Caenorhabditis elegans: one gene and its partner. The protein of the gene in region 1 purifies or fractionates together with the protein of each later gene. This does not show direct contact. Each region holds a gene or a part of one and is shown in the gene's direction. Other genes may lie near its edges.

Region 1 (7,212 bases):
TAAATTCGACGTTAGAATTTTTCAATGAAAGTATTATAAAATATTAAATTTTTGTTGACTTACCAGTAAGTGAAGCAATGTTTCCGACGTAGACTGAAGTGTTATCTCCAGAAGTTTGATTGTAGATCTCATCGTATGACTTTTCATTATAATGGCTTGGTTTCTCTTGATCTCCTGGCTTTCTTGTAGCCCAATTGGTACGGATAGTTCTTCTTCCGAGCCATTGTCCATTCATTTGCTCAATAGCACGCTCAGCTTCTTCTCTTTTCGGGTATGAAACGAAACCATAACCCTTTGACTTAGTGGTGTTAGTGTCACGGATCACTTTGGCGTCCGAAACATCTCCAAATGGTTGGAAAGCTTCGCGCAGTTTTTGGTTATCAACTTCGGACGAGAGATCTCCAACAAAAACGTGGAAATGTCTGGTAGTGTCAATTTTTGACTGCTGCTGCCCCGGCTCCACGGCCCAGTTGACTTTCATCTCCTGAAAATAACAAATTTGATTTTGAAATAGGTTTTCACATTTACTTTTTTTTATTTATGACACATAAACGAAATTTAATTTTTTAAGCAAATAAACTATATTGCTAACACTTAAAAAAATACAAATTTTACATCGGAACCCAGTGGAATCATATCGAAATTTTGTTTTTTATACAGGAGTTAATTTGTCGTTTCAAATAAAACATACTCTATCAAGAAGAAGTCGCTTGTTCATCGTCTGAAGAGCTTGGGAAGCCTGTCCATGATCAGAGAACTCAACGAACGCATATGGATCATTAGAACCCTGAAATGAAAACGTTTGACTAATACTTTGATTTCCCGGGTTTTCTCTCAATCTCTATGAAAATCTATTCAAAACGCATGTTTTCCTCTTAGTACTTAATTAAAACAACAAAAAATTCAAAAGAAAAAGGTATACACTGTCTCAGTGTCGGTGTGGATTGGTTGCCGCCTTGTGCATTTGTAGCCAGGTACCCCAATTCCTGTGAAATTAGAAAACATCATAATCAAAAAGATTCACATTTAAAAGTAAAAATAAAAGCGGATAAAAATCATACGTACCGCGAGCAAGCAAGAGTTTTCTGTAAAGATTAGTCTTGTTCCAAAGCGAAAAACTTACGTCGAAAATAACTTTGGTCTTTGTAACCGATCCTATTTGATTGAACAAAGTCGCTATAAAGTCCTCAGTGACTGTCGAATCAAGATTTCCAACATACCTGCAACAAAAGAGTAAATTAATTGACAATTTTCAACAAGAAATTCGAAACTTTCCAATGTACCCAACTTACAAAGTTCTTGGTTCATCTGAACCGTTTCCGAGATGAAATCCCTCTCTTTCGGCGAGTTTTGAATGCATTCGGGCATTGTAACCAGTATTGACGTCGTCATTGTAACCATGGTTGGAGTTTGCTGGTGGGTTGAAGAAGGACATGGCTTAAATGATAGATCCCTGTAAAAAAGAAAACGAATAAGAAGATAGAAAATAATTTATGTCGTAATATCGTAAAGAGAGATAAACGTTTAATAAATACTTAAAAAAACAAAGAAACATGCAAAAAACCAATAAAAACAGTGCGGGAACGCTGCGTTCACATTCAAAACTATGCTCGCAAGTGTCGTCTAGAGCGTTGCGGTCAGTGCGCTGCGTGTCACCCTGCGGATCTTACTCAAGCGGCAATTCAAAACAGAGTTTTCAGTTTCGAATTTCTGCAAATAATTTTAAGTTTCAGCCCGTTCCTCCGCAAAAATGGTGAGTATTTTAAAGTTTTAAAACATCAAATCAATTTAGAATTCATTCCAATCAAACAATAGGCGTAAAATATGTTTTCATTCATGTATAAACGTTGAAAATCCATTTTTAGGGTTTAGAATAGTAAGAAATATAATTTTGTCGTTGATAGTGAGAAGCTGACCACTCGTTTCATAACGTATCTGTAAAGAACATGCTTAATATTAAGAACTGGACGTCTAGTACTCACGATGAAGTATGAAAAATATAACTATCGCCAAAATTCCTAGCAAAATCAAAAATCCCACTAAGATCAGAGTTGAACAAAAGCATATTGGTCCAGAAATGCCACATATATTTTTTTCTCTATAGTAACGATAATGCTCATGCGGCATATCTCTGTAAAGTACAGATATCATAGAAATTTGATTCTAAAACTTACGTTCCATAGCTCTCAATCGTGGATACTGTAGGTGTTCGATCTTTAGACTTATTCATTTTCATTAAATTTTTCTGAAAAATTGTTTCTTATTGTACAAAAAATCGAAGAAAAATGAGTCACATCGCACATACCATTGCACTCCGACTCTTATCAATTGATAGACTAAAAACCTATTCATGTGTTTGTTCAAAGAGAAAATTCAATCTAAATAATGTTTTCTGGGGGTCTCTTCGTAAATTTTCGGGTCAATATATCTTTATGCTGCTTCCGATAATCGTTTTTCTCTTCAATTATCAGTTCAATTTAAAAAAATGAAGAACATTTGAGATTTTTTCGGGTTTGGACGCAGCATTATGAACGAGAAATCTTTTGTGGAAGAGAAATTTCAATGCGCCGCAGTTCGGCCAAGAATTTATTGGCTGTTTTTTGGGAAGACACATTACCGATATAAAATGTTTCTTGTCAAAGTTTCATGTATTAAAATACTATTTATTTTGTTAATTTTTTAGTGCAAGCTAATTATTTAAAAACTTTCAGCCAGCCGTCTTCTCATTGGTGCTCGATTCGATGTGCAATAATAATTGTTAATAATTTTTTTGTTTTCATGTATTATATTTTTCTTGTTCTTGTGAATGTTTGTAATAATAATTTGTTAATTTTTTACTATTCTTCGATCTTCAAAAGAAAACGTTTTCAGCGTTTTTAATATTTTATAATTGTGTTTTTCTAATTTTTAATGGATTTATTGATTATCGATTTCAGATGGTTCGTAAAATGAATAAGCTCGCCAAGCGGCTCGCCAGCACTTCAAAAAGTCGTCAACCGGAACCAGAAGTGAGGAAAATACTTTGTTTTAAAAAATAATTCAAAATTTCAGAGCGATTCCGACGGATCCGAATTTGACTTCGATAATGCTATCGAGGAAAAACCAATGGAAGCGATGGATATCGAAGAGGTTGAATCAGACGGCGATGACGATGAAAGAGAGGTGAGAATTACTTTTTTAAAAAGTATTTTCAAAAAAAAAAACTGATTGCAGCTCCAAGCCGCATTCGCTGCTGGTCTTCTTAAAGATGGACTCAACATTCAAGTAGCCAAAAAGCGTCCGATCATCAACAAAAGTGCTGAAATGAAAGAAAAATTGGCTGAAATCACAAAAGATCTTCCATGGGTTGAGACTCTTGAAGTGGTAACTCCTCATTCTGAAATGGACAAGAAAGTGGAAAATGACGACTTCCAAAGAGAGTTGAATTTGTAAGTTGCACGAGGGTTGTATAATTTCGAAAATTCTAATTTTTTAAAGCTATAAGCAAGCTGAAAAAGCTGTTCAAATCGCCTATCCACGTCTTCTGAATCTTGGTATCAAAGTTCTGCGACCAACAGATTACTATGCAGAGATGGCAAAGAGTGACACTCATATGCAGAAAGTTCGCAAGAGACTTCTCGGAATTCAAGAAATGAAGGAACGACAAGAAGCATTCCGCCGTATTCGTGAAGAGAAAAAGTTTGCTGTTAAGGTTCAGAAGGTAATGGTTGTTCAAAAAACCAGAAAAATTTCAGCCTAAAAATTAATTAAAATAACGGAAAAATAACTTTAATTTCTAATGGTTCGATTGGACAAACACTCAAAAATGTTTGCAAGTTGAAAGTTGCAGGATAAAATTTTTTTGCAGCAATATCCAACTTTGATACAGTTTTTGAGCACTTCGCAATTGTTTCAAACTGAAATAAAAATCTATTTCCAGATAAAACATTTTTTCTATTTTCCATCACTAAATTTAAATTTAAAATATTGGTAAAACATGCTATTTACTCTGATTCGTTTTGTAGAATTTACAAAAATAAAATCGTTGAACATGAATATCATTTTTTTCAGGAAGTTCTCGCTGCCAAGAATACAGAGAAAAAGAACCTCGCAGAAGCTGTGAAGAAGCACAAAAAGGGAATGAAACAACAATTGGAAGATATGCTGAACAACGTGAAAAGACATGGTCTTGATCAGGATGATGACGCACCGACTGGAGCATTCGGTGACCGTCTAGGAGGAAGAGGTGGTGCCGGAAGAGGTGGAGCTGGAAGAGGAGGATCGATGAGAAACGCAGGAGAACTCAAAAGAAAACTGAAATCGGATAAATTCGGTTATGGAGGAAAGAAGAAGGGAATGAAGAGAAACAACAAGGAGAGGTAAGAAGCTTCATCGGTCTTTCCTGAAATTATTTTATTTTTTTCAGCTTCAATGATCTGTTCGGAGCTCCACGCGGAGGATTCGGTGGACGTGGTCGTGGTGGTGGACGAGGAGGACGCGGTGGACGCGGAAGACGTTAAGCAAACGTTAAGCCTATTTTTATATTTACAATTTATGAACTTTTGTTACATCATTGTTGATTTTTCCTTGTTATGGATTTCGATTTTCAAAATTTTGTTCTTACAGTTATCCCATTTTTATTGTTGATCTTCTGATTTTAGTAATGTCCAATAAAATAATTTGTTGTTGCAAGCATTGAATAACTTCCAAATCGTTTTTTAATCGATCTTGTATTTTTTAAAAAGTCCAACCAAATCAAAATCGCTAAGCAGATTTTTCAGAAAATGCACTAAAAATGGAACAATTTTTGTTTATGACAACATCAGCTTTTGCTGTTTTCATTCTTCTTCTGATCTCAACATCGATACCGTACACTTTTCTAAGGACATGTTGTGTGTCAGTTTAAATTCCAAAATAACAAATGAAAACTAGAAATTTTTTTTTTCAGAAACGCTTCAAAAACATCAATCTCATTCCTGGGATGTGCTTCATGCGGTGTCTTCATTGCCACGTGTTTCCTCGGACTTGTCCCTCATGTCAGACATCAAGAAATGCATTTAAGAGGGAATCAGACGATAGTTGATAGTTATGGATGGATTCCATCGACTGATCAATTAGTTATTATTGGATTCCTGATAATTTTGATAACTGAGCAAATCATTCACGGAATCGGACATTCAATCGGAAATGGCCATTCACATTCAGGACACAGCCCACTGGCAACAAGTGATTCAATTAAAATGAACAAGTTCCACGATGTAAGCTTTTGTTTTTTGAATTTCCCGGGTTTAATATTTAAAAAAAGTTTTCAGGAGGAAGAAGGAGAGGATCACGTTCCACTTGTTGCAATGGATGATGATGCAGATGAAATTATTTTCCGACAGGTACATACCTTAAAAATAAGAAAATCGATCAAAAGTTATATTTGCTTTATTCTACTCAAACCTCAAAAATGGTCAAAAGAGCCTAATTTTAGAAAAAATCTTAAGCTTTGCCAAATTTTCCGTGTTGTAGCAAACGGAAATTGTTTTTATAAAAAAAATATTGTTCTGTTTTGCATATCATTATCGTGGATCAAGGAAAAAAAATTACATAGTAGAACAAAAACTAAATAAATATCAATTGCCATCCACTATGACACGGAAAAGAGGTTTTAGCTGAAATTGGAAAATATTTTGAAAAATGCATTTTTGTGTCATTTTGAGTACAGTAAAAAAAACACCAAGAAGCATTATTTCTTCAAATTTCATTTGTAACGTTTGTAGAACACGAGCCCTCATCACCATGCACCTTCATCAGGACATTGTCGAACTGCCCCCGGTGGATCAATGAACATTCGTGTCTGGTTTCTTCTTCTTGGAATGTCAGTTCATTCATTCTTCGAAGGAGTTGCTCTCGGCGTTCAGAATGATTCAAACGCGTTTTGGCAGATTTTGATTGCCGTCCTTTTTCATGAAGTGCTGTGTTGTGTCTCGTATGGAGTTCAACTGGCAAAGCATAATGCTTCAAGAAAGTATGCATGGACTTCATCAATCTTCTTGTCAGCTACAATTCCAGCTGGAATGATTCTCGCTACAACGGTATATTTTTTATCAACTCGATATTTTCTAAATTTTAAATTTGAAAAGTTTAGATTGACGGAATCGAAAACGACATGTGGCAAAGAATTGGAAGATATTGGCTTGAAGGATTAGCAGCAGGAACTTTTGTACACGTGGCTCTTGTTGAGCTTCTTCCAATGGAGTTGCATTCAGATGACAGCGGAGAAGGAGGTCATGGACATAGTCATGTTAGTTTTTTTTAATATTTTATTATTTCAATTATTTCAAAAACTATTATTTCAAAAACTGATTTCCCAATTTTCAGAATGTTATTGCTGACACAACTCATTCACACTCAAATCATTCTTCTTCTCATTGGATTTCACTCGTCAAGTCGCTATTCGTGGCCGCTGGAATCGGAATATTTGTAATTATAAAATCACTCATTGGTGAGCACCATTGAGCTCATCTTAATTTATCTTATTTTCAATTATTATCTTTTTTGTTCATATTTATTCATCATTTCTTCAATTGTAGTCACTTTAATTCATGTGTTGTGAGCATTCTCCCCAAAGTTCCCCCAATCCATTGATGCATAATTTTGAAATTCATCGTTCTGATCTCGGTCTTTTTTTTTAAATAATAAAAATTTGCATTTTTCGAATTCCCTTTCAGTATGTCTACAGATTCTGGGTCTTTGGGAAATACATTCATCACCTGTTAATGAGCTTTTTTTTGGCAGAACATGAGGTTTTAGATGTCAATAGTTCACATGGACACAGAATTTGCGATTCTTGATGAAGAGAAATACTACGATTCAGTCTTCAAAGAACTAAATCTGAAAACTCGCTCAGAATTATATGAGATCAGCTCAAAATTTATGCCCGATTCGCAATTCGAAGCCATCAAGCGTCGCGGAATTTCAAATCGAAAAAGAAAAATTAAAGAAACTTCAGAAAATTCAAATAGGATGGAACAAATGGCATTAAAGATTAAAAATGTTGGCACTGAATTAAAAATTTTTAAGAAAAAATCAATCTTGGACAATAATTTGAAATCCAGAAAAGCTGCGGAAACGTTAGTGGATGAAAAATGCTGTAAACTAAATATCATACATTTATATATTTCAGAGCGTTGAACGTGTCAATCCCCAGTGCTTCTGCATCTTCAGAGCAAATAATCGAGTTCCAGA
Region 2 (8,062 bases), on another chromosome or scaffold:
TCCATACATTTGTGCAGTTATTGGGTAAGAGTTTGCCCTAAACATTTATTTATTATTATTTAAAGGAAAATTAAGTATATTCTAAAGAAAAAAAAAACAAAAAAGTTGGACAAGAATGTGAAATCTAACTCTACAGAAAAAAACAGTTTTCCAACTCGTGCTAGTCTCCCAGTCTGATTTTATTTATTTTTACCAGAATATGAAACCAATCAGTGCTCACTTAGTTTTTTGGTATTCAAGTAATTTTTCGAAATGTATTTTAATACACTTCTGACACCACGAATGTATCAAAATATATGTTTTTGGTTACTTAAATAAGGCAAAATGTGTGTACTTAAATACACTTTTTAGTTTTCCGACTTTTTACTTTGTACGTTGTTTATTTTTTGTGATATTCCAGTACTTCGAACTTGACAAAATCTAAAAAAGTGGTACGACTGCACACGTTTTTGAGTTGTGTTCATAGGATATAAATAAAAAACAACAAAGAAATGCTCATAGTTGTACAAAGTTCAACTTAAGTTGTAGTTGTACTAGTAACTTGTCTAATTCTCACCATTTTACTTTACCACCTTCACCGCAATCAAGATCAGTTTTTCTTTGAAATATGAGATGTCCTTCATGAATTTTCTTAGAAGATCATGAGTAGTTTGGCAGCGTAAACAATATGAAAAATTCCCTTCACCTCTATCAGATTTGCATTTACGTAAAGAAATACGGTTTTGGTAGATACCATCTTTTGCCATCTAGCTTCCATTTATTGCATCTAATAAAAAACAATTTTGAAGTGAAACGTTACTTTATTTCTTCATTAACTTTCTCAAGCTTATTTGGAAATTGTCGATCCATCTCCATCTTCAGCTCTCATGTTTTCTTATATCATTCATTACACTCTTTAAGCCTTGTTCCAACAGAACTATAACGTTTCAAACCTACACTTTTCAATAGAATAATTGTCACTCTGCCAATTTCGTAGCTTGTAGCTTGGGCATTAAATAACGAACATTTGGGAAACTTTTTTTGAATTCGCAGTCGACATCTATCAAGATCCTATATAGGCCAATCACGTCCCAAATATATCATATTGTGTTTCTCTTAAATATGAAGTACTGTATCGAGAGAGCATTTGCTCCATGAATACTGCAATATGGCATAGTCGGATCACCGTTTCAAAGCCAGGGCACAATTTTTTCTGCCTCTCTTTTTATTCCGACTCTCCGATATTGCAGTATTCAGTTCACAAAATAAACTGGATTACTGTAATGGTTCTGTAATTGCTGCTATAATAAAACTGTACAACGAATTCCAAAAGTTTCAGGTCTGCACTATGGCTTCGGTATTCAATATTTCTTCGGGACACAAAGCTTATCCTTTTGCAGACATATGCAGTTTCAATGCAACTATTCTTCGTGATTGCACTCATTTTCTACCGTACCAAAAGAGTATTTATATTTGGATCTTGTTCTTTTTAAATATTTGTTTTTAATTTCAGCGAAAGTTAATTCGTCTAATGACTGGAATTGCAGCTGCTCTGTCTTTACTCTTCTTGTACATTGGTAATATGAATGATGAAGACGGGAAAGAAGTGAGTGTCTGCGTCCCTTTTTCTTATATACACTCTCATTTCTCTATGTCTCTTTCAGTTCACTGGCCGCATCGCATCTGGCGCTCAAATTGCTGGGTCTCTGGTCTGTCCGTATCTAATAGTAAGTACTAGTTACCCGTTTAGCCGTCGGGGGTATAGCTCAGGGGTAGAGCGCTCGCTTCGCATGCGAGAAGTCTGGGGTTCAATTCCCCATACCTCCAAATTTCATTTTGCAGTACAAAGCAGTAACATCGAAATGTATAGATTTTGTACCCCTGGCTCCAGTGGTCTTCACGTGGGTAATGGAGCTCCACGCGATCGTTTATAGTATTGGTATTGATGATTTTTACATGCTGGTTTGTTCGGAATTTTTTAACTGTTATCAAATCAAAGGGTCACATTTTCGACGTGGCCTAGAAAGATCTAAAACTCGGTCGGCGGTTTATCTTTAATTTTCACAGGTTCTTTCTGAACACTCTGAAGATTGAGAGTAATGTACTTAAAATAGTTTTTCTATTGGTTTTTCGGAGAAGATTTCTTGAGATAGTTCTTAATAACGTGGCACCAGGCTGACCCATTACGGTTTGATCTACAAAAAATGCGGGAAATTTTTTGCCCAAAAAAATGTGACGTCAGCACGCTCTTAACCATGCTAAATCAGTAGAGAAGTCAGCGTCTAATTTCCCGCAATTCTCGTAGATCTACGTTGATCAAACCGACATGGGACAGCCTGACACCACGTGTAAATTCAACTTTTTGAAAGTGACCGAGTTTTCTCAGTTTCTAGGCCACGCTTCATTCTTGAAAATTCGTTGCTTTTAGATGTAAAACACTAACTTCAAGTATGTGGACAATTTTTTGCACCAATAAATGTGTTAAGATAATCCTAAATTCAATTTTACAACTTTTCAGTTAGCCAACGTGATCTTCTTCTGTATGGATGGTTCACTTCTCTCGATGTTCTTCGTGTATCCAACGGAAAAAAAGAAGAAAAATTTGAAATCGTCACCAATTCCAACAGTCATGTAACCCAGAATGCTTCGTGTTTTGGTCAAAGCATCTCAGGTTTTCTATCAATTTTCTCTCCAACACCAATTTAATGTTGCTTCTCTCTCCTCCTCCCACTCCCAATTCTCAATTTTTCGAAATAAACGGGTACCAGTTCCTTAAGACGGTCAAACATTTATCATTAATCAAGAATTGAAAAGCGACACTTGAATCAGCGAAGAATAAGCAAATCACGGAGATTTAGATACGAGAATAAGAAAAATGTAAAAAAGACACAAAAAACGGAAATAAGAAGAAGAAGATGGGCGAAATTAAGAAGATGTGACATTGCACGTTTATCATTTCGTCGCGTTAATCGGACATTAACACCGCTTTGTCTCAACCACATACAATTTTTTGAAAAATTTCGGTTTTTTGTGGGTGATTTAGTCTATGTTACTGTAATCGAATTGACAAATTCTTCGATCGTCTATGACTTTAGCTTTATAATTTAGGTTAGAAAAAGAGAAGTTTCGGAGATGGAATGTGTCAACTTATGTTCCAAAAAACCCAATAAACTGCAATATTTATATGAGAAATATAAACTGAAGGTAAGAAGAATGGCAGGTTATATTATTAATTGGTGTATATGAAAGAAGGTCATTCGTTTATTATATTATCTATTCTTAATCTCTTTTATTACATCCAAACCTTTTAGAGACTCTCTGAACATTCTATTGAATTCGAAATTTTCATCTGGGGATTACTGTACTTAGCTCATAATCGTATCAATTCCTGAACACACTCACTGCCGTTCTCAAAATTATGTAAATTTTCATATTCTCTTTATGGCATCTGAGGATTATTTTTATGGCTTAAAATCAATTTTTGGCAACTTGACTACTTACAAAATGTGTTCTCATGCATAACTTTGTAATAGGTGGGTACGAATGCTTTGTTCCTTTGAACTTCAAAGCGTTCCCAAGAACGCCTTGTATTGGTATTTCTCGACGATTTATTGTCCGTTTCTCGTTTCTTGTGATAATTATAGAGGTCAAAATGTCACTTTTACTTGCCATTCATATATTCCAGTCTTTTTTCAATTTCAACCCGATCTCTCAGTTCTCTACCAATTCGTCTTGAGCTAATTCCCTTGTCAATCGATGAGTTGCTTCACCTCCACTAAATTATTCATTTCGCATCAGGAGCAAGTAGTCTGTACGACTTCCGTTTCTACCGAAGAGCAACAGAAGCCTCAACTCAAACTGGCAGAACCACCTGTGATAACAATGAGCGGAGTTACTGCAATTGAGATTCCACAATGGATTCAAGATAATCAAGAGGATTTTGTACCACCTGTTTGTAACAAGTGTATGTTCTCGGATCAGTTGAAAGTTTTCTACGTTGGAGGACCAAATCAAAGAAAAGATTTTCATTTGGAAGAAGGAGAAGAGTTTTTCTTCCAGAGAAAAGGGGATATGGTACTGAAAGTGATTGAAAAGGGTCAAGTCCGTGATCTAGTAATCAAGCAAGGTAGGATTCATCACAAAATTTATTTTTGAATTTGTAAATTAATTAATTAATAACACAAACTCACATGGTTTCTTAGATAACTTTTTAACTAGCTTTTTAAATTAAAATTCCATGAACAAAAAATTTAGACTGAAAATTGAGAATTTTTCACAATTTATAAACGGAAACTAAATCTGTGTTGTCAAAAATTTTTTGGAATTATTTTTTTCACAAATGTTAGATAATCTGAATCAAAACTCAAAATTGAGCTCTCTATTTTTCAGGGGAAATGTTCATGTTGCCAGCAAGAGTAGAACATTCACCTCAAAGATTTTCCAACTCTATTGGTCTTGTCGTTGAACGTGAACGAAAGAATACTGAATTTGATTGTGTTCGATTTCTTGTTGGTTCTTCCAATATCACACTCTTTGAAAGATGGTTCTATTTGACTGATGTTGTCAAGGATTTACCTCCATTAATCAAAGAATTTTATGGATCGAATGAATTCAAAACTGGTTGGTTTGTAGTTGTGTGAGCTCACCGATTTTTTGTTTCAGGTAAACCAGGAAAAGGAACATTTGCATGCAATGCTCCATACGAAGCAAGATGGACTGATTTACCCGTACCTATTAATAGAAAAGAATTTATCTATGATCATATCAGTGAAGTGAAGTAAGAAATTAGTTGGTTTTGTTTCGGATAGTTAATTTGAGAAGTTTTCAGAAACGGACCAGTGAGAATTTATGGAGCACCTGAGTACAAAACTGAAGTTATGTTGCTAGGAGAGGGATCTTATGATTTGGAAAGTGGAACTGTAGAGTTGCTAATTTGGTTGCAGGTATGGCAAAAACAGAAAAATCCCAAAAAAAATTCATGTATCATTTAGGAAAACACATTTGCGGTCGTAGAAGAGAGCGGGTTCACTTATGCAATGAAATCGGAGACCATGGTTAGGATAAAACCGAACACAAAGTAAGAATACGGAATTATAGGTTCTTTGAAATAATTTTGTTTTAGGTGTCTTCTTAATGTCAAAGGAGGATTTGCTATCACCATCAGAATGCCAGCATAATTTTTTTTTTCAATTTTGTAAAAGTCAATTTCCATATAGGCTGATTGAATGAATGCTTTTTTCAATATTTCTATCTTTATTCCAAAATGTAATTTCAATTTTGATTTATAACAAAATGAATGACATGCAATCGTGGCCAACTGATAACATCAATTCCGTTTCATTATCATCGATGTCAAATGTCTCGTGTAACACACGCTGTCGGTTCAGCAAAACCATCATGTTCTTCAAAGCTTCAGAAAATTTGTACTTTCAGACCTCGTTGTTCGTTTCAGGAAATTATGTCACTGTAAAAACTGTAAAATTGGTTAAAAATACAAAGAATCCAATTTTTGTTTTGTAGTTAGTTTACATAACTATTTTTAGTATGATTTCTATTTCATTAGAAAAAAAAACGTTAACTCATTCCGAAAATTTTTTAGCAGAAAAATAATAAATGCCTTTTAGCCGTAATTTTCAAAGGGGTTGTTTTTAAATTTGATGGGGAAGATTGAAAATAATAACTTAAAATAACTTCTCGGTTGGAAAAAAACTATAATTTAGAAAATGTTCACAATACCTCATTTTTTACTGTCAAATCGTCACGAGAACTTTGATTGTTGAAATTTGGCCAGTACTTCCTTGTTTTGAGCATCTTTTTAATATGATCAATGACGTACAATCCAAGTTTCAGATCTTTAAAAACATCTGATTACGATTACAGATCTTTTATTTTATTGTTCATAGCCCATTTTTCGTTTTGCAACCCTTATCATTAATATGCCCTTTTTGTGTACATTTATTCTTTTTCTTTCGTTGTCTTCATTGAGTATTAACTGAAATTGTCTAGGATTATGAGCATCGGAAACTGAAATGATAAGTATTTCCCGCGCTCATGTGGTTTTTTTTTTAATTTTCTAACGGTTTTTCCTCAACAGTTGAATCAATGTTATAAATTGCCAAAAAACAAAGACTACAATAAATGGACCACATTATAACGTCTAAGCACTGTAGTTTTCCTATTTACTATTATCAACTGTCGTCTTTATCAGTCTCTATCTTTTTCTAAATTGACCTTCGGCCACACTGTAGGCTACCCATGCTGTCCTCTTGCCCAGTTCTTATATTTTGATTGTTATTGCTAAATTCATTTATTTTTCAAACTTCAGCCATGCCACACGACTCTACATATCCACCAGTGAAGATTTCCGAGCGTCCGTACCATGAGATGCTCCTTGATGCAATTGATAAAACAATTGCCGATGGAAAGAATAAAATTGCATTTGTGAGCGGAGATAATCCAAAACATTTCATTACTTTTGAACAACTTCGTAAGGATGCTTTTGCTGTCGCTATGTATCTTCATAGCATTGGGTTCAAGGTATGTGGCATTATGTTAAAAATTTGGGAATTTTATAATTCAACAAGAGAAAGGAAGTATTTCAAAAATCTTTCAATTTGTTCAAGACAATGCCTTAAATTTTTGATATCTTTTAGAAAGATGTTGCTGCTGTTGTTCTTCCAAACGTCTGGCACTATACTTCATTTTTCATTGGATGTGCCATCAACGGTGGAGCTGTATCTGGAGCTAGTGCACTTTTCACTGACTGTAAGTTAAATTGATGAAAGTTACTTTCACCAACCCGCAATTTCTGTTTTCAGATGAGCTTCAACGTCAATTTGTTGATTCTCGCGCAAAGGTTGTTTTTACTTACGAAGATTTTCTTCCAAAAGTTCTTCTTGCTGTGAAGCAATCGCCAAACATCCAAAAGATCATTGTCATCCCAAAACCAGTTGGATCTTCTCTTCCAGCAGGAGTTGTATCTTGGAATGAAGTGGTTTCAACTCCAGTCACTGCTCTACCACAAGTTCCAATTGATGTTCACAATGATTTACTCGTTCTTCCATACTCGAGTGGTACCACTGGACCACCAAAGGGTGTTATGCTATCACACTACAATTTTACATCCATGATCTCCATGTATCTTGCGTAAGTTTGAAATTTAAAGATGATGATGATGAGACAGAATAGGTGTGAAAGTACAAAGTTAACAGTAAAATGGTTACACTTTAACCTTCCTATGACGCAAAAAAAGATAAGGGCCAAGAAAACAATTTCATAGATCAATACAGAAGAATCAGTATAACGTTATGTACATTTTTTGAAAAGTAATTGAAAAAAAACGAAAATATAATTAGGTTCATATACGACACAACTTTCAGAATTGATAAATCACACATTTTGGATGTTCTTGATCCAAATTGGGACTGCTACAATGAGAAAGCTCTCTTGTTTCTTCCATTCTATCATGTCTATGGATTTGGTCTTCTTAATCACTGTCTTCTCAAGGGAATGACTGGAATTGTCATGAGCCATTTTGAGCCGAATAATTTTTTGACTGCCGTTCAAAACTACAAAGTATAGAATCAAAAGTTCATAAATAACATTTTTAATTTAATTCTTTAGGTCCGCTGTCTTTGCCTAGTTCCACCAATTATGGTTTTCTTGGCCAAGCATCCAATTTGCGATAAGTTTGATCTATCATCAGTGCAAATGATAATGGCGGGAGCAGCTCCAGCTGGAAAGGATTTGATTGAAGAATTGAAGAGGAAGTATACAAATTTGAAATACATCCAACAAGGATATGGAATGACGGAATGTTCAATGGCTAGTCATCTTCCTGATTTAAGAAATGATCAACCATATGGATCCGTTGGAAAACTTGCTTCAAATTTGGTTATGAAGGTGAGAATTTCCGAATCAAGTTTTTCAATGTTTAAAAGGAAACAAAAGTATTCAATTTATACAAAAGTTATTCAGATTGTGGAACCAGGAACCGACAGAGAGCAACCGGTTAACCAACGAGGAGAAATTTGTGTTCGTGGTCCAACAATTATGCTTGGGTATCTCGGAAGACCAGAAGCAA

Evidence for each region.
Region 2: the proteins of C18A3.3 (region 1) and haao-1 fractionate together in Caenorhabditis elegans (co-fractionation; one large-scale study listed by BioGRID). This does not show direct contact.

Annotation. Positions count from the first base shown.
Region 1 is NC_003280.10:5,713,371-5,720,582, forward strand, and holds C18A3.3 (putative rRNA-processing protein EBP2 homolog), read left to right. Parts: upstream 1-2,936; coding exon 2,937-3,008; intron 3,009-3,051; coding exon 3,052-3,162; intron 3,163-3,213; coding exon 3,214-3,428; intron 3,429-3,477; coding exon 3,478-3,700; intron 3,701-4,050; coding exon 4,051-4,358; intron 4,359-4,405; coding exon 4,406-4,499; 3' UTR 4,500-4,668; downstream 4,669-7,212. Other genes in the region: Cytotoxic granule-associated RNA binding protein tiar-1, read right to left, coding at 64-484, 692-787, 1,124-1,220, 1,293-1,435; lelo-4 (Late ELOngation arrest), read left to right, coding at 1,554-1,753, 2,712-2,880; C18A3.10 (uncharacterized protein), read right to left, coding at 1,925-1,935, 1,983-2,131, 2,175-2,230; zipt-3 (Zinc/iron permease), read left to right, coding at 4,775-4,875, 4,928-5,237, 5,292-5,363, 5,745-6,059, 6,113-6,268, 6,346-6,483; damt-1 (DNA N6-methyl methyltransferase), read left to right, coding at 6,793-7,097, 7,151-7,212. UniProt on the Caenorhabditis elegans protein: Required for the processing of the 27S pre-rRNA.
Region 2 is NC_003283.11:9,501,828-9,509,889, forward strand, and holds haao-1 (3-hydroxyanthranilate 3,4-dioxygenase), read left to right. Parts: upstream 1-3,082; 5' UTR 3,083-3,183; intron 3,184-3,777; 5' UTR 3,778-3,861; coding exon 3,862-4,105; intron 4,106-4,368; coding exon 4,369-4,599; intron 4,600-4,641; coding exon 4,642-4,756; intron 4,757-4,807; coding exon 4,808-4,922; intron 4,923-4,970; coding exon 4,971-5,056; intron 5,057-5,101; coding exon 5,102-5,156; 3' UTR 5,157-5,291; downstream 5,292-8,062. Other genes in the region: swt-5 (Sugar transporter SWEET), read left to right, coding at 1-24, 1,319-1,442, 1,493-1,585, 1,644-1,706, 1,822-1,941, 2,498-2,614; acs-14 (4-coumarate--CoA ligase), read left to right, coding at 6,307-6,516, 6,633-6,744, 6,798-7,125, 7,359-7,554, 7,603-7,881, 7,957-8,062. UniProt on the Caenorhabditis elegans protein: Catalyzes the oxidative ring opening of 3-hydroxyanthranilate to 2-amino-3-carboxymuconate semialdehyde, which spontaneously cyclizes to quinolinate.